4 linked regions of the Drosophila melanogaster genome follow. The protein of the gene in region 3 interacts with the protein of the main gene of each other region in a pairwise test. Each region holds a gene or a part of one and is shown on either strand. Other genes may lie near its edges. The genes, in order: CkIIalpha-i3, mrj, CG9784 and HLH4C.

Region 1 (7,014 bases), on a different chromosome or scaffold from region 3:
TCGCTGGTCTCTGAATAATGACCGGGACTATTGGCTGGAAGTAGTTCCGTATCCTCAGGCAATGACTCATTGAGCGATTGAATCTTCTGAATCTTCAAGCCACATGGTATTGGGCCGCCGTTCTCGTCTGATTTTCGTTTAGTAGCCCTTTCTGGCAAATCCTCATTATCATTATGCTCATCGTCATTATCCTCATCATCCTTTATTTCTATGAGCTCAGGTGGCACTTCAATGGCCACGCAATCATCGTCTTCTTCGTGCTCAAATTCTTCGGGTTTTGGTTCCACCTGTGGGCATTGGTCCACCTCTGGCTTGTCGCTCTGGCTCAGTTCTTCCTGCGACTTCTTGTGGTCCAGCGTGATCTTATGTTCATTCCGGCCGCAATAACTAACTATATCTCTTAGGTCCAGGGAAAGCGGCAAGCGGCGGTTCGTCACCTGAACTCCCACCGTGAAATTAAAGTTATAGCGACTCTTAAAGTGCTTCAACCACACTTTGTCGGGAAAGAAGGAGTCGATTTTGAGGATGTCCCTTAAACTAATGGCCACAAAGCGCAAATTGTCTAGGTCAAGACGACCCTGGCGAACCAACTGTGATCGCTGGATGTACTCATAAACGCATTTCTCCAGGAACGCTAACTTTCGCTTTCTACGCAGGTGCACTTCATCCGAGGTGGCTTGATTTTGGCTAGAGGTGGTGACCAATGTCTTTGTACGATAAAGAGGTCGATCACTGCTAGTGAGCGCAGGTTCCGGCGATCTAGGCGCTAAGCTACAAGACATCGAGGTGTGTCGTCCACAGTACGACATAATGTCCCTCAAGTCCATAGATCGTGGTGGTCGGCGGACTATCGTGATCTGACGATTCGACAGTGTTATATTATAGGCGGCCTTGAAGTGATTGATCCACGGTTTGTTCGGCACAAAACCATCGAGTTGCATGAGATCCCGGAACTCGATCGCACGGTTGCGGATCATCTCCTCGTTCACATCGCTGTGGAGGTAAAACTGGGCCCTCTGGATGTACTCGTACAGGCAGTGGCCCAGAAAGTTCAGCTTGCGCCGGCGCAGCTCGGCATCCTTATTGGCCGGCTGGCTGAGCCGATTGGTGGCCTTGTGGAACTCCAGGATGGCTTCCCGATTGGAGACTATGCTCTTGATTTGCTCCCAGCTGCAATTAAAGTTCCTCGCAATCTTACTGTACATGGGCACAATGTCGTACTGTCGGATGGCAGCCACACGCTCCTCCAAAGTCAGCACGTTCCGTATGCGATGCGATCCATTCGAGTTTTTGTGGGTGTCATCATTCTGAAATTGAATCATGGTTTATTTCTTTATAAAATCCGATTTCTAGGCTTAGTTACATGTATGTTATTGATACAGAACTCAAATTATCTGTATGCGTGTATATCATGAATGCCTTATACATATTTATGTATGTATATTTACAAAACATGCCCTCTTCTTATTCGCAAATGGGTCTCGCATATTTTAGCTCAGAGATAACAAATTTCAAAAGATTTTACTAAAACGAAGCATTGCACTCTCACTTACTCACTACGAAAGTATACTTACGTCAGAGTACATTTCCACTCCCGCTCTCACACTTTCAGGTTCTCCACTCTCTCTTAGCGTGCTCGCACTCCCAGTCTGGCCCCCCCTCCTCACGTGACCAATATAATTCTGTTCCTTTAACAATGAAATTAAAACGAAATAGTTATTATACAGAGAAGAGCTAGAAATCTTGTTTACATACCTCAGTCGGAAAGCTTAGAGCATAAAGTACACTTTGTTGAAAATATACAGCAGTTTTTTAGGCACATTAAACAGAAAATATGTGCGGTCGCACGTGTTTAAAGTTGCCAGAGCGAGTGCAACTCAATGACTGAGCATGCGGTCCGAACATTGCAGAGATCTGGACTCTCCTCCGTTTGGCGGAGCGGCAAAAACCGTATCTTTGCGAGAGACATTCCGCTCTTTCTCTCGCGATCTAAACCGACTTCCCACGTTCCGATTCCGATCGTGGTGGTATTCGTTCGCGGTATGGGATTTATTTTCGGATCGAGAGTAAATATTCTCTCGCTAAAGCAGCTATAACTGGTTTAACATGCCGAAAAACACAAATCGCATTACCACCTAATCTGAGCTGAAACTGGTTTGATATGTACACATACATATATATAAAGCTATTTTTGCTCAAATTATATCTAGTGCTTAATTTAACGTTTACCACATTTAAGTGGGACCCTGTTGGTTATTCCACTCTATAAACTCTTTTCGCATATTACAATTATTTACACATTTTGGGTCTTGACTCTCAAAGGCAGGACACACGAACATTTTAATTGTAGATTACATATAAAAACTAAACTTTATTTTTGTGGCGTCAATAAGATCATAGATCGAAATCCTCGTTCTGAGGCGGATTTAAAACTGATTTTTCAACTTCAGTAAGTAGTCCAATGGCCCGATAGTTATCATTTAACATGGCGTACTCCTGTAAGACCTTCACGTAGGCCAAGGCCATATTTTTACAGTCGATGGATTTCAGTGAATTTTGTAAGGAAGCGACTACTTTGGGGTCCACATCGTCTTGACTGGTCTCATTTTCCTCCTGTCATTGAGTCATTTATCGTTACGTTAGTTCTATTACAGTCCAAGGACCTGTTTACTTACCTCAACTGCTGCCGTGTCGTGAGATTCAACAGTCTAAAAAAAAACATTCCAAAATTAAACACATTTTTCAGGTTGAAGAAACAACTAACCTCCTTGATCTCATCTTTTAAGGTCGTTTCCTTTTCCAATGACCCAATTTCCTCTTCATCGGTAAATTCACCATGCTAAGAAAATTAATAATAAGTGCTAATGTTACTGTTGATCTACTTGTACACACCCACCTCTATCTCTATTTTAATTATAGCTTCTTCAGAATCCGTACGCACGCGTACTTCTAATTTTTTCGACTTCGCCTGCAATAATAGTATTAATTTATGTTGCGACTTTTCAATAGTGTCATACCATTATTGGCGTTTTGTTGGCTTTCTTATTTCCTGCCGCTTTTGCTTTTTCATCATCAGACCATTTTTTACACACCTTACAAAGTTTGGATGGACGATTCTTAGTCAGCTTTCTTAGGTATTCACACCTCTTACAGCCACTTTTAATTAGACCGCTTTGTTGCTAGGATTAGTTTTATATTTACTAGCATTTAACTTATCCTTTATATGTTTGGCTATACTCACCAAGCTTACAGCTTCCTTCCACTTGTTGGTTTTTGCATTTAACATATTTCTAGGTTTCTAAAAAAGCATATCGAGTTCAGTCGAAATTCGATCAGAATTCGATGAGAGTTTTCATGAAAACATGGATGGATATTGGAAGCGCAATGAAAATATGTATAAGTTCTTTTGTAACGGTTCTTACATTGATCAGCTTTGGTTTCTCAGTAAGTTGCTCAGTTTTGTCCATCTTGGCCTCCGTCAGCTGGACCAGGCGATCCCGCCACCTGCGGCAGATTCTCTTGGTCTTGCGCTGTTCCTGCACCAGTGAGATTGAGCTGCCCACTTGGAACTCGCGCTGTGTGGGATCGGTCTTTGCCTGGATTTTGTTCCTCATCTCCACCATTTGCTCTATGTATTGTTTGACCTTGATGATTTCGGCATCCTGCAGGCCAATCAGAATGTCCCTGTACTTCCCAATAAGTCCTTTGAAACGTATCACTTGCATGGCAAGCATCATGGACTGCGCCTTGTAGGACGTACGCTTCGAGTTATTCTTCTCCTTCTGGATGACAGTGCGCAGCTGATCGAGCTCGCCATAGGTATCATTAAGGTAGCGGATGGCATTACGAAGATTTGACTCCGCTGTGGCAAAGGCGGTAGCATCCGGTGGACGAAATCCTGGCGGGGCAGGACCCAGTGCAAATAACCGGGACTGCAAGTTGTCCGATAAATTGGATTCCTTTTCCATAAATTTAACAAAACTTAGACTTCCACAATATGCTTTTTTGTAGACTTCAGATTGGTATTGCCCATCCGATGCATTTAGGGTTGCAATTTCGAAGTTATCGATAAAGTTTGCTTCATTTGATCAATATTGCATAATACTATAACTTTTTATTAACTGTATTACATGTTTTCACGATACTAGTTAATTCTTTTCAATTATGTTTGAATTTTCTATTTTGTGCAACCGAAGGTCTTTTCTTGAACCTTTAGTGTCATATTGGTGCTGCCAGATTTTTCGGTTTTTGTCAATTTCCAAGACGAACTTGCTTACAGATCGGCGTTGATCTCGGCAGGATTCACTTTGTTACTCTTCAAAATACTAATAAGATTTCAGAAATGTTGGTTTTTCTTGTGAAATTCCTTTAGATTGTTGTAACTATAGGTTTTAGAAAACGGTATTGCCACAGCGCAATATTTTAGCCAATACCCAAGCCAGATTTGTTTAGAACCAGATTCATTTTTCAGTGGTGTTAGCAAGTGCATGAACCATATTTAAATAAAGTAAATTAAAGTATATATATTATAAAATATTAAAATCTTAAATATAGAGGTATAAATTAGGTATGTGCCTTATCTTATCTTTGCTTTTCCAGTAGATTACGTGCTTGTTTATAAGGACACTACGTTTGATCCACCTCGAAGTCCTTGATCTGGGCTGGATATTGAATGGCGTGCTCCACCTGTATTAGCAGTCCTATGGCCCTGAAATTATCATGGATCATGGCGTACTCCTGGAGCGCTCTTAGGTGTCTCAATGCCTCTTCGTCGTTGCTGATGGAGATCTCGGCCGCAGACTCTGACAAATCATTAGTATTGGGTTCGGCGGCATTAAAGACTGTAAACTGTTCCCCATCCCGCTGCCGATCCGTTTGCACTTCGTAGTCCTTCTGGATCTTGATATCGACATCATCCAATGGCTGCTTTCGTTTGCGATACGTACGCATTTGGCGGGGAATAACTGTGCTGACAGTGGTGCCCATAGACAGCATCCTGCCTTTCTGGATACCGGTCTCCAAACTGACCACCGCTTCATCGAAATCATTGATGGAAAGTTCCTGCGGCGGTGGGACAGGGTCATCCTTTAGAATTTCGGACATCTCGTCGTAGAACTGCCAGTTTGGATGGAAATGCGGTACCTTCGCCAGGAGCTTGCTCCTTATGCTATAGTAGGTCTTCTTCAGGTTCCTAAATTTTCGATCCAGCTGAACTGCATCGATATCTGTCATTCCCTGGCTTTCAAGGGCAACGACCATTTCCCCCCAAATGTCCTTGATCTTTTTTTTCGGATCCCGAAAATCAGCTTGGCGTTCATTGTAAAGGGACAATAAAAGTCGGGTGTTGGATGTACACCACTTCCTTTCGTAAGCTGGCTTATTGTGAGTATATATATAGTTTTCTTCTTGAATTTATGTTTTTTACTCACACTTTGTATCCATTGTTTACAATAGCTATTCAGTTGATGACGAATAAGTTTTGTTTCCCAGGCTGCCAGTTCTTTCGGACGGCGTAAGAGAAAGGTATCATGATCCAAACATATGTGTTTCGATTTTTCTCTATCGATAACTATCGAAAAGGTTGCACGAAACAAAGATGGGAATAGGCTTTCGTTTTTTGAAAATGGATTTTTTGCCTAATCTATATCAATACTCGCTACCGAAGAGAACATTTATTTTATATAAATACTCATCTTAGCCTCATTTAATTGCCATTATGTAGTTTTTGAATTTAAAAATCTCGCAGTAAGGATTTAGTGAGTACTTGCCGCAGGTTGAGACCTCCCGCAACTTAATTATAGAAAGTTAATATTGAAATGGACCTACATACATTACAAATAAGCACATAACTATTACTGTGCTGCCATCTACCGGCAATGCGACTTTCATTTACAGACGCTAGATGTCGCCCAAACAGTTCGTCGATAGGGGCGCAGTAGTATAAATGTAAAATAACCGGGTACCGTATACTCGAGTATACACAGTAAAAAAAAGTTTAATAAACCAATATTGATTTTTGTAGTAATAAATTTGTTAAGCAAATTATATAAGATTATCAGTGATTTCTATTATAATCTTTTATAAACTAATCTGTAAGTTTTAGGTAAGAAAAAAGTTAGTCAAAAAGGCTAAGTCCTATCGTGGACTATCTATGCCCAATTTTCCGTATCAACCCAATCGAGCGTCTCCTAAATTTAATTTCCGCCACAAATAAAAAGGGAATTTACATATGCACAATTGGCACTTTTTTTCTAGAAACACCTGCGCACCGAGGTGGATGTGTGAAAAACTTGGTTAGAATATCTCGAGAAGCGCACTTCCGTTTTGGCCTAGATAATAACCGTGAAGGGCTAACTCGGTAGTTCGTAAAGCAGTCAGTAGTTACAACCCCGGCATGTGACTTTTAACAATGTTTTGGTAGGGGGTTCAGCGGAGCGCAACCTCGTTTAAGGTGTGTGGACCGTCCCTACAGACGACCCTTACAAATAAAGGCCTGAAACCAGAGCCAAATAATTGTTGCGCAACTAGGCGAAGCCAGCTCACTGATTTTCCCATGAAGAGTTGGACCAAAACGCGATCAGTGGGGCATGCAATGTGGGAAAATAGACTCTCGAATATGATTGACAATGGTTCGGGGCCGCTTTGGACCCTATATATTTTGACGGTCTGCCCATGGCAATGGCTTCATTATTTTGAACAGCTCCCACAGTAATAAGGCTTTCGGGCCGACTGGTTGAAAATTGCACTTCGTGCAGGCGGATTTCAAATTCATTTCGCTTAAATGTGTGGCGCTGCCTTTGGGCCACAAATCCCCAAGTCGCACCGTGGAAGCCAAGGTGAGATCGTTAAACAACTGACTGGTGAGTTGTTCTTTTATGGCTTACATCTCACCCAAGCACTGAAAATAATCGGAATATAACTAAAATCTACGACATGGCTATAAAATATGCAGCTTCTTTCAGGATACTCATTTTTCTCTGTGTAAGTCCTAAGCCAAATCCAAATTATCCGAGG
Region 2 (7,756 bases), on a different chromosome or scaffold from region 3:
AGCCTTCCCCCCGAAACCAGTTCGTCTTCCCAGACAGACTTCGCAGCGATTCTTTCTTTCCTTCGAAGCGTAAATATTTCAATTTATTTATTGGTCATGCGTCTTCGGCATCGTATCGTTTTTCGAACACTTTCTTTATATTCGGCACCCGAATTTCAGAAAGATATAGCAACATATGTCGTGGTGTGATCAGAAACCCACAGTATCTTGGCCTCGGTCTTGGACTTGGACTCACCAGCACGCAAAGCCGTGCCAAAATGTGTGTCAATGGCCTTTGCGGGCCCTTCTTTTCATTTTTATTTGGGGCGGAGATACAAAGTCTGGGGCGTGTCCCAAGCGGATTTTCACTAAACTGAAAATTAAGAGTGAAAACGGTTCGAGTTTCTGTCTTTTTACCCAACCCTGCCATTTTTTTTTTTTTTTTGCAGCACACAAAGCAAAAGAGGTGTGTACGTCGATTCCAACTGCAGACCATGCATGCATGACCCCGCGTATTAGTGTCCCATCCTATGGCCGCCTGATTGTCATGCTAAATGGGTGAAGTGAAACTACGACTGCGATTTCGGACTGTCGAGAGCATTGACCATCTCCCCAAAAGAGCATTGCCTGTTTTTAGCTTTTTCTTCTCCTACTGTCAACTGTCAAACGAAATTTACACGTTTTTCTTTCCAGCTGCAACTCACGAAATAGTCGAGACTTGAACAAAGAAATGGGGAGTGCGTGAGGCTCCTTTAGCTGATTGATTGTTTGGCAAAGTTTGCATGTTAATTGCCTTTATGGTGGCGATAGACGACAAAGCACACTTAAAAGTCTAAAACCCCATTACTGAGTTCATTGGAGTTTTCTTTTTTATCAGTCGTGTCGCCTTCTCATTTTCTACCAATTAACATTACTAGGTTGTGACTCTCACCCTAGCGAAGACAATGGAACTAAAGCAAATATAGTGTAAGCGATTAAAAACAAAGTGAATAAGATATTAATACAATCATTATACTGAACTTCTTTCGTTAGGCCACATATTGTCATTAAAAATTCTTTTTTCATAGTGTTAAGCAATCAAGTCCTCTGGAAGCGGAACGGAAACGGTCGAGGCTGACCCAACAATTCAATTAAGTTGACTCCTCCTGCACATCTGAACGATCGAGCCCGAGTGGAGACAACTTGGTTCCTACCTGCTAGTCCGGCTGGCTGATGCGGATTGAAAACAAAACAAACAGAGCTTAGACAACTCACAACAATGCGGTCGTTGGACGCGCAGGCGCGCAGCAGGGGCCGCTTAATATGCAGCCAGCGTAGCTGGTAAGTCGGAGATGTATACCCATATACCCATACCATATAGCCAGCAGCAGCTGGCGTCTTTCGTTCTTGCTGTCGCTCAACTGATCAACTGGTTTAACAATAAAAACAAAGCTCAGGCGGCGTTGGCGTTGCTTGAACGTTCAACAGAAACGAAAAAGTTACCGTCTTTTTTGTTGCTTCTCTCATGCGCTGCCATCGATTGTCGGGGCTTGGCTTTCTTTGAGGGAAAAAATATACAAACTCACTTAGAAACTATAAAAAATGGCAATTTGTACGCTTTGCCTTTTTCTCCGCTTCTTGCTCAATCGTATGTCTCACACGCGCTTCTAATGTCTGGATACGATACATAAGCTCGTTCAAGATGATGGCATATAAAAAGCTACACGAGTTTTTCAATTGACTTGGAAAGTGGCAAGCGACTGCCAGCATGCATCAAATGGATCGAGCCCCAGCGAAAAGTGGGCGTGATGGGCAACAACAATGGCTCACTGTTTTTTGGCTCTCGGCTTTGCCACACTTTTGATGAATTAGCCGTTTTTTTTCCATCGAGTGTCGGGGCTTGGAAAATTGAGTTGCAGCTGCAGCTTATGATGGAAGTGGTTGGCAGGGAGCGAGGAAGTTCGTTGAGCCGGATCATACCCAGCTGAGACTCATTAAAACACCACTTGAACCACGATTCGTGTTACACCGCCTCTAAGTGCAGGTCAATAAGTGGAGTTGTTGTCTGATTTTCAAGTCCAAGCCAGTTTATGCCTTTGTGCGATGCTATGGGAGAGAAATGGCTGGAAGAGCTTGATTGATGGGGATTCTCAAGCAGGGTAATTGATTTACTTATAAATAAAATAAAAATACTTCCCATACCGGGAATCGAACCCGGGCCTTCTGGGTGAAAGCCAGATATCCTAGCCACTAGACCATATGGGATATGTTCTACTTTCTTCCAAGTTATATAAACGTTTTTGTAGTTTTTCCTTGTTAAAAATGGTGCACGTACTTTATAAGGAATTTTATGCCTTGTTCATTTTTAAATTTATAAATAGAAAATATACAGTGGTGACTTTAAAACATGTCCTAAGAGGCAGACTAAGGACACACTTTAGTCACCTTCCAGACAAGTCCCATATTGTCTAGTGGTTAGGATATCCGGCTCTCACCCGGAAGGCCCGGGTTCGATTCCCGGTATGGGAAACTTTTTTGCCTAATTTCGCTTTTTTTTTATTTGTTACCATCAGAGGGTTAATAATTTTGGGCTTTGTTAAAGGGGTTGACTGACCATTATACAGAGGTGGTCAAAAGTATTTCCACAACGAGCTTTTTTTTTCAATTAGTTGACAATGGTTATTAGTTGACAATTGAAAAAAAAAGCTCGTTGTTCAAATACTTTTGACCACCTCTGTATATGTTTTCATTCCATATCTTAATTTTCTTGTATTAATAGTTTTTCCTGGGTTAAGCAAAATAAACAAATAAACACAAGGCATTCATTCATGTTGGCGAACAAAACGAGTCTTTGCTACAACACAGATAGCCTCCCATATGGTCTAGTGGCTAGGATATCTGGCTTTCACCCAGAAGGCCCGGGTTCGATTCCCGGTATGGGAAGAGTACTTTTTTTTTACTGCTTAAAATAATTGATAATTGATTTTCCACATATATTGAGCAGTCTTCAAGTCTATTGCTTTCGGTAATTGTATGTATTTATGTTTGTTTTTGCTTTTCTAGTGTGCTTTATTTCTTTGCAATTGCCTAGCGCCACCAATTGATGCCAATCGGACACGCTACGAAATAATTCGAGACTTTTTTATGGCCGTTGCTTTTCGTTGCCCCAAGTTGTCAATTGTTGATGTTTGTGCTTATGTAGAAAGAAATAAGAGAAAAGAAAAAGGAGGGAAAACGGTTTTGTTAACGACGGGCAAAAGCTCAAAGAGCCAGAGTACTTAACTTTTGTTAAACCGAAAATTAGGCATGCCCAGAATTGCAACATGTACTGGAAGCAACAGCAACAACGACAATAGCCTGCCGCAAAACGTGTGGCAAGCGAATAGCAGCAACAATAAAACGGGCACAATGCCTTGACTGAGTTTTGAACGTTTTTTTTAGTTTCTTTTTTTTGTAGTAGATACGGAAAATTGCTTTTTCATTGTTGCAGTAACCAATTTTTGGCTGTTATTGTTGTTATTTACAAGCTGACTTGGCAAACGGAAAATCAATTTTTAATTGCAACAAATTTGAGAGAGCTGCGGGACAGGCAAATTGCGAGTTGGCCAAAAAAGGCAAATTAAAGTAAGCGTTAACGAAAAACAATTGGCATTTTGAGTCAGAAACGGGTTTAACGGTATCGCAGAGGCAGCTGCAGTATCTTTTGAGGAAACACGCCGCCACATGTCAAAGGGGGACAGCAACAATATGTCAAAATCTCGATGAGCAGAGCAATGAACCGTTGTAATTAGCATACGTCCGCGTGCGTGCGTGTAACAGAGAGCACAATAGAGGCACTTTCGATTATTGAACTTGTTAAATTCCGCATTTCTCTGTTTGCGCTCGGTGCTTAGATTGTTTATTATTTGGTATTACGCTTATTCTTTTGCTTTGGTTGCTTACCTGGAAATGATCTCTTTCCTTTGGTGCCTAACCGAAAAACAAGCGAACAATTAATTTCATTAGAAGTATCTAACAAATGCGAATCCAACATGAGATATAGTAAAACAAGAAATAAGTGTGAGCAAATAAGATAAGCAACGCCGCGTGGGGAAAGAGAGAGAGAGAGAGCTGTTGGTGAGAGCGAGAACGACGCGAGTTGTTGGCGGAAACTCCTGTCGCAGCAAGCAGCAGCAACAACAACTACAGAACGGCGACAATTACGGCGCTTTATTGATTTTTTACAAAACAACTATTCGAACACGAAGCGTGCCGTTTGCATTTGAAACTCGGTTTTCAGCTTATATCGAGATTATTTAATGCACAACAAAACGGAGCACAAAAGAATTTCGCACACCAGCACAAGTTTTAAGCACTCACACACACACACATACGAAGCGACTTCAATGTCAACTTCACTTTTTGTATTTTTATCTACTGCTTCGCTATTTTTGGTTTTCTTTAGCAGTATTTAGTACTTTGAATTTAGTATTTAACTGCACTTTATTACCCGTCAGTCTGCACGCATCCGTGCGCTCGTTGGTCGAGAAACAAATTATTCAACCGCCACTTTGCTTTTGGCCAAGCGCGCTTTTCCCACAGCTGTTTTACTTAAGCGATAAAACGCAGCGACAACTATCAGTCGCCTGGCTATCGATTTGACCCAGGGAGGGGAGCAACTAGCTCTGCCAATCGAACTGGTTCCGAGCCGAAATTCAAAAATGTCATCGGTAAGATAACGTGTTTAGCTACATCCCTTTGGACATGTTTTCTACATGTTGACTTACATTTTACATTATATTTAATTTTATTAGCTTGGCGGTTAGTTTTGAATATAAATTGAAGGTAAAAAGGTATAGACCAGTTTTTTCTATTCTTGTTTACCAGATGATATATCGCACCACAATTGTTCGCTCTTTTAATGCTCATACTCATAAAATATATTGCTCTTTAATATTATAATATTTTATTCTGCATTTAGGTTCTTAAGTTTCGTATTTTTTTTAGCTTTTTACCGATGCTCAACCCGAATTTCTGTGTCGCCGCCGGAAGCAGTGATTCACATTGGGCTTGACACCCTGACATCGATTGTTCCAAGCCACCCAGGCGGAGAATCCTTGCTGTTTCCTGATGTACTTCGCACAGGCAATGGAATACCGGATATCGTCGCTCAACAGCAGGCGGCAGGGCAAGCGACACAGATCGTTGGATGGACGACCATCCGCCGGCTTGCACCAGTAACGATCGTTGATCTGGAAGAGACCCCAGTCCACGGATCCATCAACGTTCGAGGGATTGATGGCTTTTGTGTTGAACGAGCTCTCGCCCTCCACGAGGCACAGCCAATCGGGTAGCTCGTTGTAAGCCATTCCGTATCGATACAGCTGCCGGGCCAAACTGCATCTGCCCACCTGGCGGCCAGTGGCCAGTGATAGCGTTAAGAGCACCAGCAGCCAAATGGGCCACATCTTCCAGAAACAATGCAGGCTTCTAATGGTAACTCGTGGCTTATATAGCCATCCAGTTTGCTGCGAGATTCGGAGCACAACTTGGCCCAATCTAATTTTTACAAGCACTCATTTGGACAGCTCTGAAGTGTGGCCCACACTCGAGCATAAATTATCAACACTAGGCGACAAAGATTGGAAGTCATAACCATCTCCAATTCTTTTATTTTGTTGGAGCTATTTCGGAAAGGCTATTGCTCTGAGAAATCAGTAGATATATGGTTATTTTAGGGTGTAGAACTAAAACTACAATTCTCTAACTTAACTTAAATCCCAAACATGCAGATGAGTGTCAGACTTTCAATTCTCGATCATTGAAACAGGCCGATCGGGCCAGTTTCGTTAATATATGGAGTGGGAATCGCTCGCCATTTAAGCGAGGCATCTGCCTGGCCCCAGATTCACTTTCAATGGGTTCTTTTGTGCGATGCTCAGGTATTATATAACCATGTTGACAGCTGGAGGGGCCGGAGCACTTGAGATCGCGTGTGCGCCAACAATCGAACAAAAACCCCGAGAGAGCAAAGTCATTCAACTTTTGGACAACTTGTCGTTCTTTCTTTGTTTTTGTTTAACGTAAAAAATTAGTACAAAAATATGCAATAAAAATGGCATGTGTTGATACTATGTTTATCCCAAACGAATCTCCTCCATTTCCTGAGCGGGCGGCTGCTTGATCTCCTGTTCCGTTGGCGGCACATATCCCTGTCTCGGCAGGAATTGCCTCTTCCTGGATGTGGGACGTATAACGATGTGTGCTACGCATGTGCAAATGGCGGCTATGGCAAAGTATTTGAAGCTCTCTCGTCCGCCCAGGCTTTTGAACATAAGTCCGCCGATTAGGGATCCGATGGAGAAGCCAAGTCCATCGTCCATGCCGGCCATCAATCCTTGAACGGTGGCCGATGTTCCCGGAGGAGCCACCGCCGAGGCGTAGGCCACAATGCACGTATAGCACAGAGCATAGGTAATGCCCTGGAAAAAGAGCTCCACGCCCACCAGATACCAGGGATTGGGAATCCAGGCGATCAGCGACAGTCGCACAGCGTAGAAGAAAAAGCACATGCTCATGCAATGAACATAGCCCAGTTTTTTGATAATCTTTCCGCTGTAGAAGAAAAAGGGCACCTCGCCGGCCAGACACTCGGCGGCCACCACTAGACCTTCGATCAACTTGATCTGATGCATGTAACCAGTGGCCTCGGCCACCTGCTCCAAGTGCCAGAACATAAAGTATATGATGAAGGAGTCAATGATGCCAGCCATTGTGGCGAAGAACAGAAAGACCAGAATGGGTGGCTTGCGCACCAATTGCCAAACATCGCTCCAGATGGACTCGGAACCACCCAGTTTCGGCAGCTTCAGCTTGGACACACTGAACAGATCGAGCAAACTGAACACGCACATGATGATCAAGGCAGGCGTCAGACTTTTGACCGCATCCGTGGTCCACCAGTTCACTACGATTCCGGCTAGCATGGCAGTGGCTCCAAAACCAATGGTGCCCCACACTCGTTGTGCTCCGTACTTTTCCTGCTCCTCATCGCCCAGAAGGTCAAAGCAACAGGCATCGGATATGGAGTTTGTCACGTTGAAGCCAACGATTCCAATGCAGAGCAGGCATACGAACAGCCAGAACTTGCCAGCACCATAGATGCAGCTATTTACGTGTCGCACCTCGCAGGATGCACTGTTCCAATCGATGGCTGCTGGTTGCGTGAGACAGATGTGATAACTCTCGTTGCCATGAAGCAGATTCTGGTTGAGATTGAGGCCCGACTCGTTGGCAACAATTAGAGCGGAGAATTCGCCTACTTCCTTTTCTTCCTGAATGCATTTTGCCTGATGAGTGGTTTGACAAAATGCGTTGGAGGATTGGATAATGGTATTGCAATCGTTTGGATTCGTCAATAACGTTACATTCCATTGGGCACTTCCCTCGTCCAATGGAATGAAATGTGAGTTGTCGGGCAGGAAATAGAAGCCGGCGAAGGCCAGTGTCATGATGAGGATAAGGGAGATGAAGATGAACTTGCGCAGGCTCTGCAACAAAGATTATAGTTTAGTATTTATATTAATAGTTACTAGGCATATCAAGCTCACCGTGAAATAATCGGCTAGGAAACCCACCAAGGGTTTGGCTAAAACATAAAGTAGGGGCAAGGCGGCCGTAATATAGCCCATAACATCCGGTGGAACACCGATCTGCTTGCCGATCACCGACAATTGTGGCAATATGGGTCCCATGGCTAAAAGTTGACAATGTGCACATGAGTTTATAAACTACAATAATTTCCAAGAAATCTTTCTAT
Region 3 (8,767 bases):
AAGAAGTTGCTCTTCCCGGAGCCATTACGTCCAACAACAACGTTATGGCGCTTGTCGAATGGTTCCACCACCGTCTGGTCCTTGTAACTCTTGAAGCCTTGTATAATAATCTGGAATTAACGGGTGGATTTCAGATCTTCGGTGTCCAATGGGTGGCCAGGAGCATGGCCGTCATTTCAACACTCACCTGCTTGATGTGCATCTTATTATATGCGATTTTTTGCACAAAATCGCGCTCTTTTTGTTTTACAACAAATACATAAATAATATCGACTCGGGCAGCGACTTATCGATGTTTGCGTTTCACTATCGATGTCATCGATATCCCAACTTTGAAAAACACTGGCTTGCAATCGAACCAAAAATTCAAATGATATAAAACAAAAAAATAATTTTAAATTTTACAACTAAAAGTGTCCATCAATAATGGTTTAAGAAGCAAACAAATAATTAATTTAATAAGGTAGTTTGAAGGTGTGAAATACTAAAACAACGATAGCCGACGTTATCGAATCGAATCGATTACTCTTGTTAAATTCACTCAGTACAGATATATTTTTATAGAAAGCCACTCGATTCATTCGATATAAATAAACACGGAACACCGTTTGTGTTTATTATATTACGACGTGTCTGTATTTTGACCCGTGCCCGAGGATCTGGAAAGTTCGCGATTGCCGCCAAAACAAGCAAGGACCCCATTCGGGTGTAGCAGGTGCAGGAGCAGGTGGACAGGAAACGGAGAAGCAGCTGAAGGAAACTCAAAGGAAGTGGTCACAGTGGGGAGAAGGAGCCCGTGAACTGAACCATCATCATTACCATCGAGCGCATTTAGGATGGCTGGGTCCGCACTGCGCCGCCTGATGGCGGAATACAAACGTGAGTCGAAAGTCCACAGGGCAGCAACAGCTTTCCCTTACCACCGCTCCGATCATCTCCAGAGTTAACACTTGACCCGCCCGAGGGCATTGTGGCCGGCCCCATCAGCGAGGACAACTTCTTCGAGTGGGAGGCACTGATTGCGTGAGTTAAGATCCCCGAACGATCGACACGGATCGGACAGATGTGGACAGATTAACCCATTAATTGCACTTTGCCCTTTGCAGCGGACCTGAGGGCACTTGTTTCGAGGGCGGAGTGTTTCCTGCCCGGCTCATCTTTCCGACCGACTATCCTCTGAGTCCGCCTAAAATGAAATTCACTTGTGACATGTTCCATCCCAACATATTCGCCGACGGGCGGGTCTGCATATCAATACTACACGCACCCGGCGACGATCCCATGGGCTACGAGCTATCCGCGGAGCGCTGGAGTCCTGTCCAGAGCGTGGAGAAGATTTTGCTTAGTGTGGTCAGCATGCTGGCGGGTAAGAAAAAAGTCACAATAAAGTCTTAAGGGCAATTCCAACGGGGGTATCTACTTCCAAGTTCATTTGTTCACTAGATTATATGGTTGATCATGCCGATAGTTCACTTCACTTGTTCATTCCTTAAGTTCAAACTGATGTCGTTCATTTTTGCCCACAGAACCCAACGATGAGAGCGGCGCTAATGTGGATGCAGCAATTATGTGGCGCGAACAGAGGGATGAGTTCAACGCCATCGCCCGACGGCTGGTGCGCAAAACTCTTGGTTTACCGGCGTAAATGGATCATGTGCGTCACCGTCAATACTTTCTACCCTGAACAACACGATTCCAACAACTCGCTAACCCATAGTTTTCTCAAAAATCCCTCGTTGAGCTAACCGACACAAGTTTCAAATTAGCAAAAATGAAGAACCTAACGTCAAAATCGACTAACTCAAGTTTATCTAGCACACTGACTGCCTCACCGGACTTAACTGGAGGGCCTATTACCTGAAGTACATCACTGGTAGTTGGACACGAGGCCAGGTGAAGGCGGAGTGAGAAGTTGGCAAGAAAAGTGAAAATTCTAATAATTTCTATTATTAAAGGTTTATTTTTTTTTATATATTTTCACTAGATATAATTTGTATTGATGCTTTATAAAGATGCTGTTTTGAAAAGTTAAATAGAAATTACGATAATTCAAGTGCAAGGGCAATGTATTCGAAGTGATTGAGGCGTTTGATTTGCATTATGCTTTATGTTTGGTTTATATAGTCATTACACACTTAATTCGACTGATCATTAACTGAAATCCAACATGAAATTGTCCTATGTACTCATAAAATACTACACAATTGTAAACGTTTTCATTCGATTAAGTAAATTGATTAATGTTCACTTTGATAAGGCATACGACTGTATGTATGTATATATATATATATATTTATATGTTTATAGGTAGGTGGGTAAATGCACACCCATACACATACATTGGTTAAGTGTCCACTGGTATGAGGGTAATATAGTTATCTAATAGTTGCTGAAGGTTACTAAGCCACACGAATTTCAATTGACCGGGCCCGCATAAATTAATGCTCTCTGTCTTCTTGGTTTTCGGACCATAGATGGGCTCGAAAATGTTTACACCATTCGATCGTTCGAGTACGGTGGGCACCACAGACTTTTACGGCCCACTGTACGTTCCACCAGTTAGTCAGTCAGTCATCAAAACATTGCCAATTAGTGGGAGTGGGCAAGGGCTGCGCCAGTTCGGATTTCCATTGACCCACTGTACGGTGGGTGGGGGAAGTCAATGCAGATTGCTTGAATTTTCTGCTTGGTGGTCTACTTGGGTTGCAGCTATCGTTAAGGTGCAGTTCTTATCTAAACTATCCTTATATAAATTTTATAGATTATATACCAATCAGATAATGGAAAAAACATCGCATGCCGCTTTATAAAAGTCTACGTTTCCGGAGAAAAACCTTTTCTTTTTGTTTAAAACATTAAAAATCTTTCGTAAGTTGAGCTGGTTGGTTTAGAATCATGGTTAAAAAGTTCACTTTTCTCTTTTTTGTTATTCAAAAAATTAAATACAATTTGCCTACATTAAATAGTAGTTAAATGAAGATAAAATTATATTCATACTTTGCTACTCTATTCAATATAATACCTTTTCTCTATATATTTCACTTGAGAGGCATTCAAAAATATCACTTTTCAGACTCCGGTTTCTGCCCATTTTGGCTTAGAGCTCTCACCTGGCTCTCATCAATAAGTTTTTGCCTGTTACTGGCAACAGGGTGTGTCATAGTGTAGATGTGTGACAGTGAATGTGGCGTAATTAACCTTTTGACAAACCGGTTAAATACAAATATCTAGTGCCATGACACCGTACAAATAAAAATAACAAAATGACAGCAGAGCAAATAGAACATATGTATGCAAACGAAAAAGCGGGATTCATTCAGGGCGGGAATAGGTGGAATTGGTAGTAAACACAAATATTATTGGTTCGATAATTATGTATAATTACATATGTATGTATTAACGTATTTTGGAGGGGGGGAGAGGAGAGGAGGCGCTGAGTCAACAGCTAACAAGCAAACTTAACACGGTCACATGAGGTCAATAAAATTAGATCAACACGGCGGTTATGGAAACAGAGACTAAAGAATAAAGATATCCAGAGCCTCGGCTAGCTAGTCAACATGGTACTCCGTCCGATGGGGCGAGCCGTGCCGCTTCTCCGCCACAAAGACACCACTGACGCCGGCCAAACTGGTCACGCCCCGGACTCCGGTGCTGCGGAAATATATCAACAGGTATTGCTCGCCGTGACGCAGTTCCACATCGTCGGCGAAATCTAGCCGCACCAACTCTTGGGCATTAGCCTCCTGATGGCGACGCTGTCGCTGGCGATTCCTGTGATGATGCCGACCCCTTCGATGATGCGAGGGCGTCTCAAACGGATCCGGTTGGTGATTGGAGTCCGAGGATGAGGGCGACTCAGCCTGATTGACATACTCGTAGGCTACGTAATCCGCCAAACTGGCGTACTCCGACGGAAAGATGCCAATCCAGTCGTTGGACCCCTCGTCGAACTCTGCCTGCTTGTGATACTCCACCGTGTTCTCGTCCCCAATCTTCCAGAGCGACAGAGGCGAGAACACCACGCCGGGCGCCCGTACATTCGGGTAGAGCTTGATGGTAAAGTCACTGGTCACCGGCTTGTGATCACTGATGGTGTACAGGGGATGGGACTTATACGAGCATTGCTCAATGGATAGCTGCATGCCGGGCTGCCGGTTCAGTGGCTGCACGGCGTACATTATCCGATCCGTCCAGGCTGGCCGCCGCTTCAGGTCGTACTCGGAGGTGCCCTCGCGGAACTTGAAGGTGGGCGGAAAGGCGGGCAGTCGCTCCTGCAGAACCTGAAAGGCCAGCTGCGACTTCTCGCGAACTTGATACAATTGATCCCGCTGGATAAGGGCCTCGTGCTGGGACTCATCGCGTACCAACTCGCGCACTTCCGTCGAGGAATCGCTGCCCTGCAGTCGGAAGTTCAGATCGCCAAACCAGAAGACATAGTCGTGATCGTAGATCTCCCTATACCGCTTGACGTGGTAGTGATGGTTCTCCAGTATCTGCTTGTAGTCCTCGATGCGCTCGTCCATCATATGGTCATGGGCAGTCAGATGGGCCACCACAAAGGCCAGTCCGCAGCCGTAAAGGGTGAACCTGACACTGACGGCGCCCTTGTTGCCCCAAATGCCACCGAAACCGGTCCTCGTGAACTCCGCCTCGATGTCCTGCAAGTGCTCAACGTGCTGCCGCCTCACGAACATGCTGAGCAGCAGCCCCTGCATCTGCTCGGTCTTTACGGCCACATAGTCGTAGTTGCGTAGCAGTTCCTTAGCCTTGTGCGTCCACGGATCCTCCTTGAACAGTCCCAACACCTGTTGCTGCGGCTGGGCATTGACCTCCTGGAGCCCCAACGCATAGATGTCCGGCAAGTGGGCATTAGTCTCCTTCGTGTCCTTATCCACCGTCACATCCTGCAGTCCCAGCAGATGGCGGAGGGATATGTTATCCGGAAATCGACTGCCCACATTCCAGGTGACCACATATACCCGGTAAGTTTCCAGCTGTTGCTTCCCTTTGCCCTTCGATCCGTCCGGCTCCGAGTCCGGAATCTTGGGTGTCTTGCTAGCCTCCGTTTGGCTCATTGTTGCTGGACTTGACAAATCGAAGAGATTAACCCAACTGGCTGCTCACAGCAATCAAGTTGTTTACCCAACCGATTAAGGTTTTATTGTGTAAGTCGATTCTTTATGCCTTTGTGGATTTTGTTGCTCCAATCTGGGTTGCTGGTTAAGTTGGGTGGTGAACAGCGGCGAGGGCGGTCGGTAATTGCTGAAAATATTGCAGCACAAATAGTTTTTAACACTTGTTTGCCCAGCAGCAGCAACAACAACAACTGTGCTACAACAACACGACGAACACAATAACAACAACTAGGGATGGCAAAACTGAGAAGATGACGATATCGACTAGCGGTATTTATTTTCCAGCCCTAAAAATGTAAATTTCTTAGACGTTAAGAGGTAACATATTTGATTCATCTAGTAGTAAATTCAAGTTGTTTTAAAATGGCTTGCTAAAATTGAACCAAAACAATATGGTTTCCCCTATAACCCATTTTTTAAGATTTATTTAACATTTATACTGTATAATTTCTTTGTCATATTTGCACCTTAATAAGGGCTTTTATATTTGGCGCTCATATTATGTTCGTTTATTATATTTGCTTTATTTCTAATGCAGAATCTGTGGTCACTCTAGCACTCGCTGAATTTTAACTCGCTGGAAATTCTTTTTAGGACAACTATCGATTAACATTAGTACAGTATTTAAACTTTTGCATTATCACACAGCCAAGTAAAAACCTAAACAAATACCTCACTCCAACTTAAAGATACAAACGAGAATTCCTTTTAGTCAATGCAAATGCTTAGTATTCAAATGACAACACAAGCAAATGGTTACATATGTTATAAGTCGCACTTGAAGCGGTTCTTGAGTAATAAGCCCGTATGGCAGTTCATCACCAATTAAAAATATTTAATAATTACAGACTTCCAAACCGTAAACGTGCATGTAACCGATAGCTGCAGGCAACGTATCGATTAGCACACGCTGCCCGACACGCCGATAGTATCTGACAAACATCGATTTTGGTTCCAGCTCTACTTTGTGGCCACACACGCGTTTTTTCCCCAATCAAATCGTGCTCTTTTGAAATTCTGTTTCTTGCAAATCGGTGGTGCGTGTTCTCGTGCAACAATGGAAAACCTGAATGCGACCAGCGGCAAATGTTAAATTGCAATTAAAAGTGTGGATTTCGCGGCGGTAAAACGCCAAAATTCGTACCGAATCGCTGCGCGCGTGTGTGTGTGAGCAGAGCGTGAAGAAGAGGAACGAAGAATTGCGAAAGCAGTGTGTGCGGAAGAAGTGGAAGAAGCACAAAGACAAAAGGAAGGTGAAAATATATCAAATATATATCAAATCTATCCGGCAAAAGTAAAACAAATATTGAAGAAAACGGGCGGCATGCTGGAAAGCGGTAAGGGCAAAGCCAAAAGCAAGAACCTCGAGCGCTTCGCCCGAATTCGGTATTCAATCCTTTTTCCCGCCTCTAATTTTGCAGTGCTTGTGCCCAGAATTTGCTCTTCATTGGTGGCCAAGAAGTCAAATCCTGATCAAACGCGACCAGTTTGTGGCGCCAAACAGAATATTATTTAAAAATATCGCGGCGTGTGTAAAACCTCGGCGAAACGCGAACAAAAAAAACCACGACGGCGTGCGTAAGCGCACTCACACCTTTGCACACGCACAGACAGAGAGAGAAGGCAGGATAGAGAGTGAGAACGAAGCGAGTGAGCGAACATTATCCGCACCTACACATACAAACTAGCTCGCAGGAATTGCAACAGTGTGTGCTTTTTTTTTGGTTTTTTTTTTTACTTACGTTTTTTGTTGTGTGTGCGGCAACGCTTCTTTTTCGCGTTTTTTTTGCATCTCTCTTTTGTGCCGTTGCTTCGCCGGCTAAAAAGGTGAGTCTGAATCTAAAGCGGCATAATGGAGGATGCACAGGAGCAAAGGGAATCCTCGCAAGCCGAATTGGCCAAAAAGCATCCGCTGACGCCGCTCAAGGAGCTGCCTGAAGAAAGCGAGGAGGAGGAGGAGGAAGAGGATGAATCCTCGGCGGGAGCCCTACGGGAGTCTGACAGCAACAACGTAAGTACAGTCGACGATAACTTGGTTCCCATCAAATATCCAACTTCCGTGCAATTGCAATTGCAGTCCATCATGGGGAAGATGAAGATGCGCGTGTCCAGCATTCTGCCCGCCTCCTTGAGCGGTTGGTTTTCGCCGTCGTCCAAAGATGGGAACGATGCCTTATCCTCCCCAGCTAATCTCCGCCAGTCACAGCCACGCCAGTCCAATGGACGCCTCACTACCAAGCGGAAACGAGGACGCCGTCGGATAATGCTAGCCGAAGTGGATGCCGATGCAGCCGATGATCTTGATGACGGCTCCGATGCCAAAGGCCTCAACTATGAGGAGGTGGCCCTGGCCGACAACATAGCCGAACACGACCTGGCCGCCGAGGATGAACAGACGCGGCGGAGCGAGTACAATGTGTTCCTGCTGCGCAAGCGAGCCGGGGCTGTTGCAGCTGCCGGCGGTGACGAGGATGAGGCCGAGGAGGATGAACTGGAAGAGGACGACGAGGATGGCGATGAGGAGGATGACGATGAAGAGCAGGAGAATCTCCAACAGTCCGCCGCCGTGCAGACCAAGCGTCGACGCCTGGAGGTAAGATCACATCTTCAATCCTGTCTACATTTCCCAACTAATCTTGAATCCCTTTCAGCTGGAGACCCCCGTCAATTTGCCGAACATGCGTCGTCTGCCCCTTTTGTCATCCACGCCTGCTGCTCCGCTCGCGGCTGCCACCAGCTCCTCCAGCTCCCAGATGTACAAGGGCGTCAGCCACATTGCGCCACATCGGCGCAATCACCTCAATTTGTATGGTAGTCAACGGCAGCGCGAACCCGCGTACAACTTTTTCACGGGCAACGAAGCTGCCGAGGGAAGCACCGGGGATCTGCCACACAGGTATGTTACTGCAGTCATGCTTACTAAAAGTGTTAATATGGAATTCAAAAAGATAACTACCTTAGAGCTCGTTTCAAACAAACTCAAATTTGGGCGTTGCATAGCCAGGCTATTGCCAAGACGAAAAAGAAGAAAACCTTAGTGAAAATTATAAGGCAATCATTTAAATCATTTTAGCATCCGCCGTTCACTGAACATACCTTTCGGAGGCAGCAGCACCGCTACCAGCTACAACAACAGCCTATCCAGCCTTCCTAACCACAAGCGACCATCGCTCATAGGCAAGCAAACCCATCGACGCGATCTTACCATGGATGAGACGGGGACTGGCCCGGCCATGAGTTCGGAAGAACATCTCAATCATTTGCTGAGAATAAGCAGGACCAACAACAATACTAGCAACAATAATAATAATAATAATAACAACAACAATGTCATTGAGACAAAAACAAGACGAAGTGAACTGTCTGCGGCCGCAGGAGGTTGCGGTGATTCGCAGTCCGAGAGCGATATGAACGAATACCACGACAATGGTGAAGGGCACGACGGACTTCGTCCGTCGCATTACAACAGCAACAGCAATTTAGAATTTTACGGAAATCTGCAGAGCTCCAAGTCAATATTTAACAGAAGCAACACCGCCGCACAGCAATCGCATCGGAATTCTACGTGGTCGCTGAATTCCCTTACCCAACGACGTCGCTTCAATGCGTCCATATACGGCAGTACGTCG
Region 4 (7,529 bases), about 12 Mb from region 3:
CCCACCCGCAGTATCAGCGACTCCAGACGATCCTCGATCTCCTGGTTTTCGGACACACGTCTACGCTTGTTGCGCCGATGATCTGCAATTAAATGCCCCCATAAATGCTTTGCGTTCATGATTACATCGATGCCCACTTACCATAGCCCTCATCCTCCGTGTCGTGAGCCCTCCTGCGACTCATCTTCCCGTGAATTTTCTGTGAATTTTGCGGAAAACACCGATTACCGATTGGTCCTTGGCCACCGGCAGACAGAAAAGCACGCTGATGGGTACACCTCTTGGACCTGGACTTTTTCGGGGATCCTGGACAGGATACGCTTGACGGATGGGCCTTGTTGGTGCGTCTAGTATTTCACTGCGAGCGTCAATTAGCTTGCCAACTTTCAAAACAGCTTTGTCACAATTTTCACAAAAAACGCGATGCGATGCTATTTTTTTTTTTTGCCAAAGAACTAAAGATGTGCCGCCATCGATGGCAGGGTTTATCGATAACAGCGGCGGCGTAAGCGGCGGACTGAAAATGGGGCCTGAATAAACGTTTTCTTTGGCGCCATATGCGCAGAATTGCGGCATACTCAATTAACCAAAACATACCACTGACTGACTTACAATAAAAATCTGTTGAATGCCACTGCTACACAACTATCGATAGAAACGGTTGCCGGCAAGTGCTGCAATCTAGTCTTATGCTGCCTATCGCTTTTGCCCATCTATACATTCCACCGCGGAATTTTCCTTGCATTTTATGATGAGCTTTCCACGCATGTTATCACTGTGCCTTAGCGTGCTTGTAATACTGCCGCTTCCCCTCCAGTCGGTGGATCCCCTGACCATTGGTGCCGTTGGCGCCGTGGCCCTTGGGGCGTACTTCAAAGAACATACATATTGCCGGTTTGCCGAATGCTGCGATGACCGAAACATTCCGGCGAGAATAGATGGTGAGTGAGTAGTTTTGTATGCAACAAAATGACTAACCAGTACAGTGGGTAATTACAGAATTAGAAAGATCCCTGGAACGCACCCTCATTGGCCAGCACATCGTGAGGCAGCATATCGTCCCCGCACTGAAGGCGCACATCGCTTCGGGCAATAAGTCACGGAAACCGCTGGTCATCAGCTTTCACGGCCAGCCCGGTACGGGCAAGAATTTTGTGGCTGAGCAAATTGCAGATGCTATGTATTTGAAGGGCTCCAGGTCGAACTATGTAACCAAGTATCTCGGACAAGCTGACTTTCCCAAGGAAAGTGAGGTGTCTAACTATAGGGTGAAAATCAATAATGCGGTGCGCGATACCTTGCGTAGCTGCCCGAGATCTTTGTTCATCTTCGACGAGGTGGATAAAATGCCCAGCGGAGTATTCGACCAGCTCACCTCGCTGGTGGACTACAACGCCTTTGTCGATGGCACGGATAACACAAAGGCAATCTTCATCTTTCTCTCGAACACGGCGGGCAGTCATATAGCCAGTCATCTGGGTAGTGTGATGAAGAATGGTAGGCTGCGCGAGGACACACGACTGAGTGACTTTGAGCCCCTTTTGCGGAAGGCCGCCTATAACATGGATGGCGGTATGAAAAAGACCACCATGATTGAGTCTCATGTTATCGATCATTTCATTCCGTTCCTGCCGATGGAGAAGGCGCATGTGATCAAGTGCCTGGAGGCGGAGCTTTTAAGGTGGCGGCGCGATCCTAAGCAAGCGAACAACCAAAAAATCATTGAGGACATAATAAACTCCTCCATTAGTTACGATCGCACGCACAGCTTGTTCGCCATTTCGGGCTGCAAGACGCTGGAGAAGAAGGTGGCCATGGCCATTTACTGAGAAAGGACCGACCGACTCCACATTTTAATGCTTAGTTTGGGTTTCGGTTTGTATTTAAAAAACTATTTTTTCGGAATAAAGAAAACAAATTTTAACTACCAGGGATTTAGCCACTTGAGGCGGGCATCTTTGCGCAGCAGATCGGTATCCAGTCGCTTGGGCTGCTCGTCGTAATCCTGGCGAGCCGCCAGGCGGGTATCGATGGGTCCCAGGTCCTTGGTTACCAGGCACTCGCCGTTCTCCTTGAGTATCGTATGCCGGACATCCTGGGCAGTGGGCTCTCCGTAGGGGAACGTGACCGGCGTAACCTTAATTAGATGCTTGATCTTCCACAGGCGGGCATTGTTCTCCGGTATGTTCTTGACGACAGTAAAATCGCTCTGCTTTCCGTCTAGTCCCAGATCTTTGAGGATTCGATTCTCCCAGTAGGGATTGCCCTTTAGCGGCTTGATGCGCTGCACCCGGAAAAGTTTCGCCGGCTCCACGGGTGGATCCTGGTGATCGGGAGTCCTGAGCGGGATAGATTTAGCATTAACAAATGCTGGATTTCGTGTGTTTTCCTTTTATACACTGCACACGTGAATACGAACCTGGGATAGTAGGTGATACCCTCAAATTTCTGGCCATTTTTGTAGAGGAACTTCTTGTTGTGCTTTCCGTAGCTGCGCACCGAACATGCGGTGCTCCTCAGTGGATTCAGCAGCCTTCCCAGGTTCATCTTAATTGTTTTCCCCCCTTTGTAATAAAATTAAATGCAAAACGCTTATGAAATAATTGATGTTTCCCCGACGATAACGATTACACAGACATCTGGTTAACTAGTTGCCTATCGATGGGCAGCATGGATACTGCCGTTATGTAAACCAATGTTAACCGCTTGCTGTTAAGCGATACAATTCAAATGCAAAGGCGGCAAAGTTAAAAGTGATAATTTATCATGTACAAACTGAAGATAATTTATCATTTACAAACTGAAGATAGCGAAAACATTATCAATAAGATGGTAATATATATTCGTTGTTTTTTTTTTTAATATTTCAAGAATTAGTTGAGAAAAGAAAGTTTTTAGGTCATCGGATTACACAGCCTCCAGGGGATGATGTCCATTTCTGGAAAGGGGCGGTCTCATATCAAAATCTCCGCCATTTTGTCAGCTACAATTGGCGCTAATCGACGAGGGTGGATAACTTGGCATTGGCTGGCTTTCAACGCAATGGGGTTGTTTCCGATTTTGGTTATAAAGGAGGCTGCAGCTTCCCGACCGGAAGTCAGTTCCACGTGAGCATCCATCCGGCGAGCAACCGACTCTAGTGGCAAGCAAGGATATCTGCCAGACAACTCAAGGATCTAGAATAACTCTGCACCTGTGATAACTGCTGTAAGTTCAGGCAACAAAGCCCAAAAATTGTGAGCAATGCAAATGAAGTGAATGTACTAGCGAGTAGAATAATCAAATTAAAGATACAAATAGCTGAATGAAGTCTCTAGTTCGTTTAAAATTATATCTAGAAATTTGTTAATTAGCTAACTTGACCATGTGCACGCACTCGACATGTGTAAGTGTACTGGAGTTTCATAGTCTTGAGGGGACTTGAGTTACACGACAAGTTCTTAAAACTAGATCGGATTTCCATCATCCCATGGGATCAATAGACACGTCTTCGACTTGATGCAATTCCAGTGACACTTTTTGGACCCAAAACCCATTAAATCAATAGATATAAAATCATACGTTAACCGCAACAATACAAAAAAGGGTGGCCAAGCCTAAGGGGTTGGCATCGCTGAGGTTTGCCAACTCCCGCGGGCAAATAAACGTGCCGATTGTTCAGCTATTTGTGTAGGTGTGAAAATATGCTGCGAATAAACAATACACGCACAATGCCGACAATAAGCACAATAAGTACAATAAAAATAAATGAAAATAATAGCAAACGCAAACAGAATGCAGCGAAAAAGGGGTGTGTCCTTCATCGGCAAGGACGACACACACACACACGGACACCCTTCATCACAAATGTCCACAAATGAAGCATAAATAATTCGAGTGCAAGGATTATGATTTCTTCAACGCCTATTGTAACCTTTTTTTTTTCAATAGCATGAGCGCTCCACCGCAAAGGTAGCCACACTTTTCGTCTTCCTTGAGTTTGAAATGCAGATCTGTGAAGCAATCAAGTACACATTTCGTTGTATTCATAGTCTAAGCTGTGCATCCTCTTGCTTCCATTTCCATTTCCAGCATTCAGCAGCAGGCTGGGCAGCGCAAGAAAGTCCAGTGTCCAGCACCGAAATCAGTGGTGCAAATAGCCAGAGAATGGTCTACGATATGAGCCATATGGCGGCGGGTCCGCCGCAAAGCATTTCGCTTAGTCGCTACTATCTGGTCGACGATGATGAGATGATTGGGCCAAATAATCCGCATCTGGTCAACGAGGACTATGCGGCCAGTACGACGCTGGATATCGATAAGCGTTTTCAGGCGCGAATGGCGTGCGAAACGGCCGCACAACCGGCACCGCCACCGCCGCCCACGCCGGCGCCACGTCGCCGGACCACGCCCATTGCCCATTTGGATCCATCGGAATTGGTGGGTCTATCGCGGGAGGAGCGGCGTCGTCGCAGGCGAGCGACACTCAAATACCGAACGGCACATGCGACGCGGGAGCGTATACGGGTGGAGGCATTCAATGTTTCCTTTGCCGAGCTGCGCAAGCTGTTGCCCACATTGCCGCCGGACAAGAAGCTTTCCAAGATCGAGATCCTCAAGCTGGCCATCTGCTACATTGCCTATTTGAATCATGTGCTGGAGACGCCCTGAGATAGCGCCGGCGCCTCCAGTTTCGCCACCAGCTGCCTCTTTAACGAGGCCAATTTTTTCGCCCCCCCGTAGGAGGTGGGGGGGCGTGGCGGGCGGATTTAGGGGGAAAACATTGCGAATATTCCACATCCGATAAACGCATTTCACCATGCTCTGTAATCCGCACATCGCTCCATTGGATACTTTGCCGGTGGCGGCTATGGATAATGCGATTATCGAATTAGCCATCTCACCAACTTAACCGAAGTGTTCGATGGATTTTGCCGATTTGCTAACCTATTTAACCTATGGTTAAATACATACATTTTTTTGTTTTTTGTTTTTTTTTTTCCTTGCCACTGTTGAAAGACAAATGCCCGTCGTTTCGTTTCGATTCGTTTTTTTTTTTAGGCTTAGGTTTGTTTTCGTAGAAACAATTGTAAAGCCACGATTTAACCTAAGGTTAAAATATGCCCGTACTAAATGTAGAAGATATAAGCTATTAGTTTGTGTAATTTAATTGAAAAGTAGAAATATCGAAGGAAATAACAAAACTAAATATGCCAGTAGTACATACAATTAAATTTATGGGAAAGCAGTGCTTAATCCTCGGAGTAAACCTTGATCATGGTTTATATAATATAAATAACCAAGAAAAAAAAAACAGAACCTTAAACTAAGATCCATTTTTTGTCTAGCCTTTAAGTCGTGATATTTGTTTATACTCAAACGATTAATATATACAGCATTGTAATCGCAATAAAAAATTGTCTACTTTATGTATTTTGGCGCGCCTTTGCACGACACTCCCCTCGACTTTTGGACACCAGCTGCTCTGACTGAGTTTTCCATTTGTCTGAACGCTTTGCTCGGAAAAGCCAGATGCTAACAGTTCCCCCTTTTTCACCAACCTTCAAGAACCACGTATCCACGTATCAAAAGCGGGCGTGTCCTTTGCGCCAAGCCCCGCCCATTTGTGTAAAAGCGAAGTAGAGCAGCCTCTGTCATAATTTTCAAAAATTGAGGATACATTTTTATTTTTTTGTTTTAGAAACTGTGAAAGCGTCACGGAAATTTCGACTTTTGTGCAAAATTTCGAAATGGCCCTTCATTTTAGTGCACAGCAGGTAAGACAAATTTATTCTAGTCGATTGGGAGGCTGTTTTCAATATCCATAAATAGTGGCCTAATTTGGTTGGTACGGGTAACGGGTATATATATATATACATATATATATATTTGTGTGGATCCATGGATGTAAACATTTTCGCAATAATAATAACAACAAACGTGGCAATGGCAACCAACTCGATTCGGCGCCATCCTTTTCTATCCAGTGAAAAACGACTCCTGCATTCCGACAATCGGCTGTTTGTCCCTGTATGGGTGCTATTTTCATGGGTGTGGGTGTACTGGCGTTCATAAACAAAAACAAAGGCCAGGCGACAAGGAAGTTTTGTTGTGTGCATATTTTAGTTTTTACCAGTTATATATTTTATTCTTTATTTATATTTTTATATATTTTAAATTAACTCATTTTGAATGGCATGTGTTTCCTTTGCTCGAATTTTAAACTTTTGTTTATTTATTTTTGAAAATATATGTCGGGTGTTTTCTTGTTTTTGAGTGTCGTACGCATAACGTTACCGCTACCGCTCCGTTACCGTTTCCGCTCCCATAACCGTTTGAGCTCGCTTTTTCATTTCCTCCCCGCCCACCGCCCACCGCCCACCGCCCACCGCCGCCTTTGCACATTTGCAAATAGCGACAGTTAAAGTTTATTTACTTGGTAACGGTTACTTTGGACCAGAACCTTTGCCACGCAACTCGTTTTTGGGAGTCCACAGCTATTCGCCATATACACACACAATCGCAACGGAATCGGTTAACTGCGGTGGTGACGGAATTTCGAAAAGAATCTATTCGAATCGCACTCGAGAATCAATCGAAACGCCTGGCGTTAATGGTTTACCAATTGGCCAGGGCGACAGCTGTTCGGCCAGCGGAAATTGAAATTGGAAAAATTGAATGGAGCATTGAAAGAAGCAGAAGCAGGAGGCGGAGCACAATCCACAGGATACAGGAGCTTTGGACCAAAGGATAGTCGGCGGCAGAGCGTGAAATTAGCTTAAGTGCTTGTCGCCTCGACCAGGACACACCAGTGGATACAAGTGCGACATTAGATACGATACAAGAGTACCCGAAAGTAGAGAAGTACCTTCATTCTGGCGAACTTCTAGCCCAACCCCAGTGCCTCGGCCTAAACCAGCGATTCAACCGTGCACGTGTTTGCCAACTAGCTTTTTGACTGTCTAATCCTGCGGATGCGAGAATGCAAGGACACCATGTGATAAATTGCACCCCAGAGGGTTGCCATAAAAATCATCGCTTCACCCAGCTGGGGTGACCACCTCACCCATCTCAACCATCTCATCCAAGGGGTGCAAACTATTCTACCCATATATGCTACCAATCTATCTATCTATCCCATCACTGTATCTATCTGTCTATTGTGTAGCGTTAGCATAGATACCACACCATCGAGCCAAGTGCTGTTAGCTCCTTTGTTGCTAATTGAGTTTAAAATCAATTTGTATTTTTTCACGCCGCAATTTGTTCGAGCGCACAGCTACATTGCGTAATTGCCGTGCAAATTTAATTACAGCGCCGATGCGGTAATGCTGGTTGACCAACAAAACAGCCACGCGCTGCGAACGTGCGCCCTTGTCACACCCACTCACAATACGGAATCAGCACCCAGTGGAACACCCACTGCAGCACCCATCGATCAAGGCCTCAATCAAGTGGTGACACTCGGAGCGCTCCGAGTATCGAGTTACCAGCGAAGGTCCATTTGCATTCCTTAATTGAAATTCGTACGCGTGGGAAGACCACGCAGC

Evidence for each region.
Region 1: the proteins of CG9784 (region 3) and CkIIalpha-i3 interact in a two-hybrid assay, tested with the Drosophila melanogaster proteins (one large-scale study listed by BioGRID).
Region 2: the proteins of CG9784 (region 3) and mrj interact in a two-hybrid assay, tested with the Drosophila melanogaster proteins (one large-scale study listed by BioGRID).
Region 4: the proteins of CG9784 (region 3) and HLH4C interact in a two-hybrid assay, tested with the Drosophila melanogaster proteins (one large-scale study listed by BioGRID).

The regions. Positions count from the first base shown.
Region 1 is NT_037436.4:706,316-713,329, forward strand, and holds CkIIalpha-i3 (CKII-alpha subunit interactor-3), read right to left. Parts: upstream 4,047-7,014; 5' UTR 4,043-4,046; coding exon 3,995-4,042; exon of another isoform or gene 3,969-3,994; coding exon of another isoform or gene 3,933-3,968; coding exon 3,423-3,932; intron 3,299-3,422; coding exon 3,242-3,298; intron 3,180-3,241; coding exon 3,018-3,179; intron 2,969-3,017; coding exon 2,897-2,968; intron 2,840-2,896; coding exon 2,765-2,839; intron 2,709-2,764; coding exon 2,676-2,708; intron 2,614-2,675; coding exon 2,395-2,613; 3' UTR 2,286-2,394; downstream 1-2,285. Other genes in the region: CG13895 (uncharacterized protein), read right to left, coding at 1-1,307, 1,364-1,384, 1,575-1,586; CG13896 (uncharacterized protein), read right to left, coding at 4,627-5,372, 5,430-5,442.
Region 2 is NT_033778.4:16,217,223-16,224,978, forward strand, and holds the start of mrj (mrj), read right to left. Parts: upstream 4,572-7,756; 5' UTR 4,448-4,571; exon of another isoform or gene 4,414-4,447; intron 3,928-4,413; 5' UTR 3,901-3,927; intron 2,902-3,900; exon of another isoform or gene 2,830-2,901; intron 2,488-2,829; exon of another isoform or gene 2,416-2,487; intron 2,224-2,415; exon of another isoform or gene 2,152-2,223; intron 1-2,151. Other genes in the region: CG7798 (uncharacterized protein), read right to left, coding at 4,959-5,405; CG15706 (uncharacterized protein), read right to left, coding at 6,075-7,487, 7,548-7,693.
Region 3 is NC_004354.4:16,593,165-16,601,931, forward strand, and holds CG9784 (uncharacterized protein), read right to left. Parts: upstream 5,333-8,767; 5' UTR 5,079-5,332; coding exon 3,552-5,078; coding exon of another isoform or gene 3,519-3,551; 3' UTR 1,972-3,518; downstream 1-1,971. Other genes in the region: SMC3 (structural maintenance of chromosomes 3), read right to left, coding at 1-110, 188-202; Ubc7 (ubiquitin conjugating enzyme 7), read left to right, coding at 837-879, 942-1,023, 1,107-1,366, 1,527-1,645; Nup153 (nucleoporin 153kD), read left to right, coding at 6,991-7,149, 7,216-7,731, 7,790-8,034, 8,212-8,767.
Region 4 is NC_004354.4:4,642,985-4,650,513, reverse strand, and holds HLH4C (helix loop helix protein 4C), read left to right. Parts: upstream 1-3,099; 5' UTR 3,100-3,207; intron 3,208-4,071; 5' UTR 4,072-4,146; coding exon 4,147-4,650; coding exon of another isoform or gene 4,651-4,722; 3' UTR 4,723-5,387; downstream 5,388-7,529. Other genes in the region: Cbp80 (cap binding protein 80), read right to left, coding at 1-82, 142-184; torsin, read left to right, coding at 749-941, 1,000-1,829; mRpL30 (mitochondrial ribosomal protein L30), read right to left, coding at 1,925-2,339, 2,420-2,547; CG3062 (uncharacterized protein), read left to right, coding at 5,730-5,756.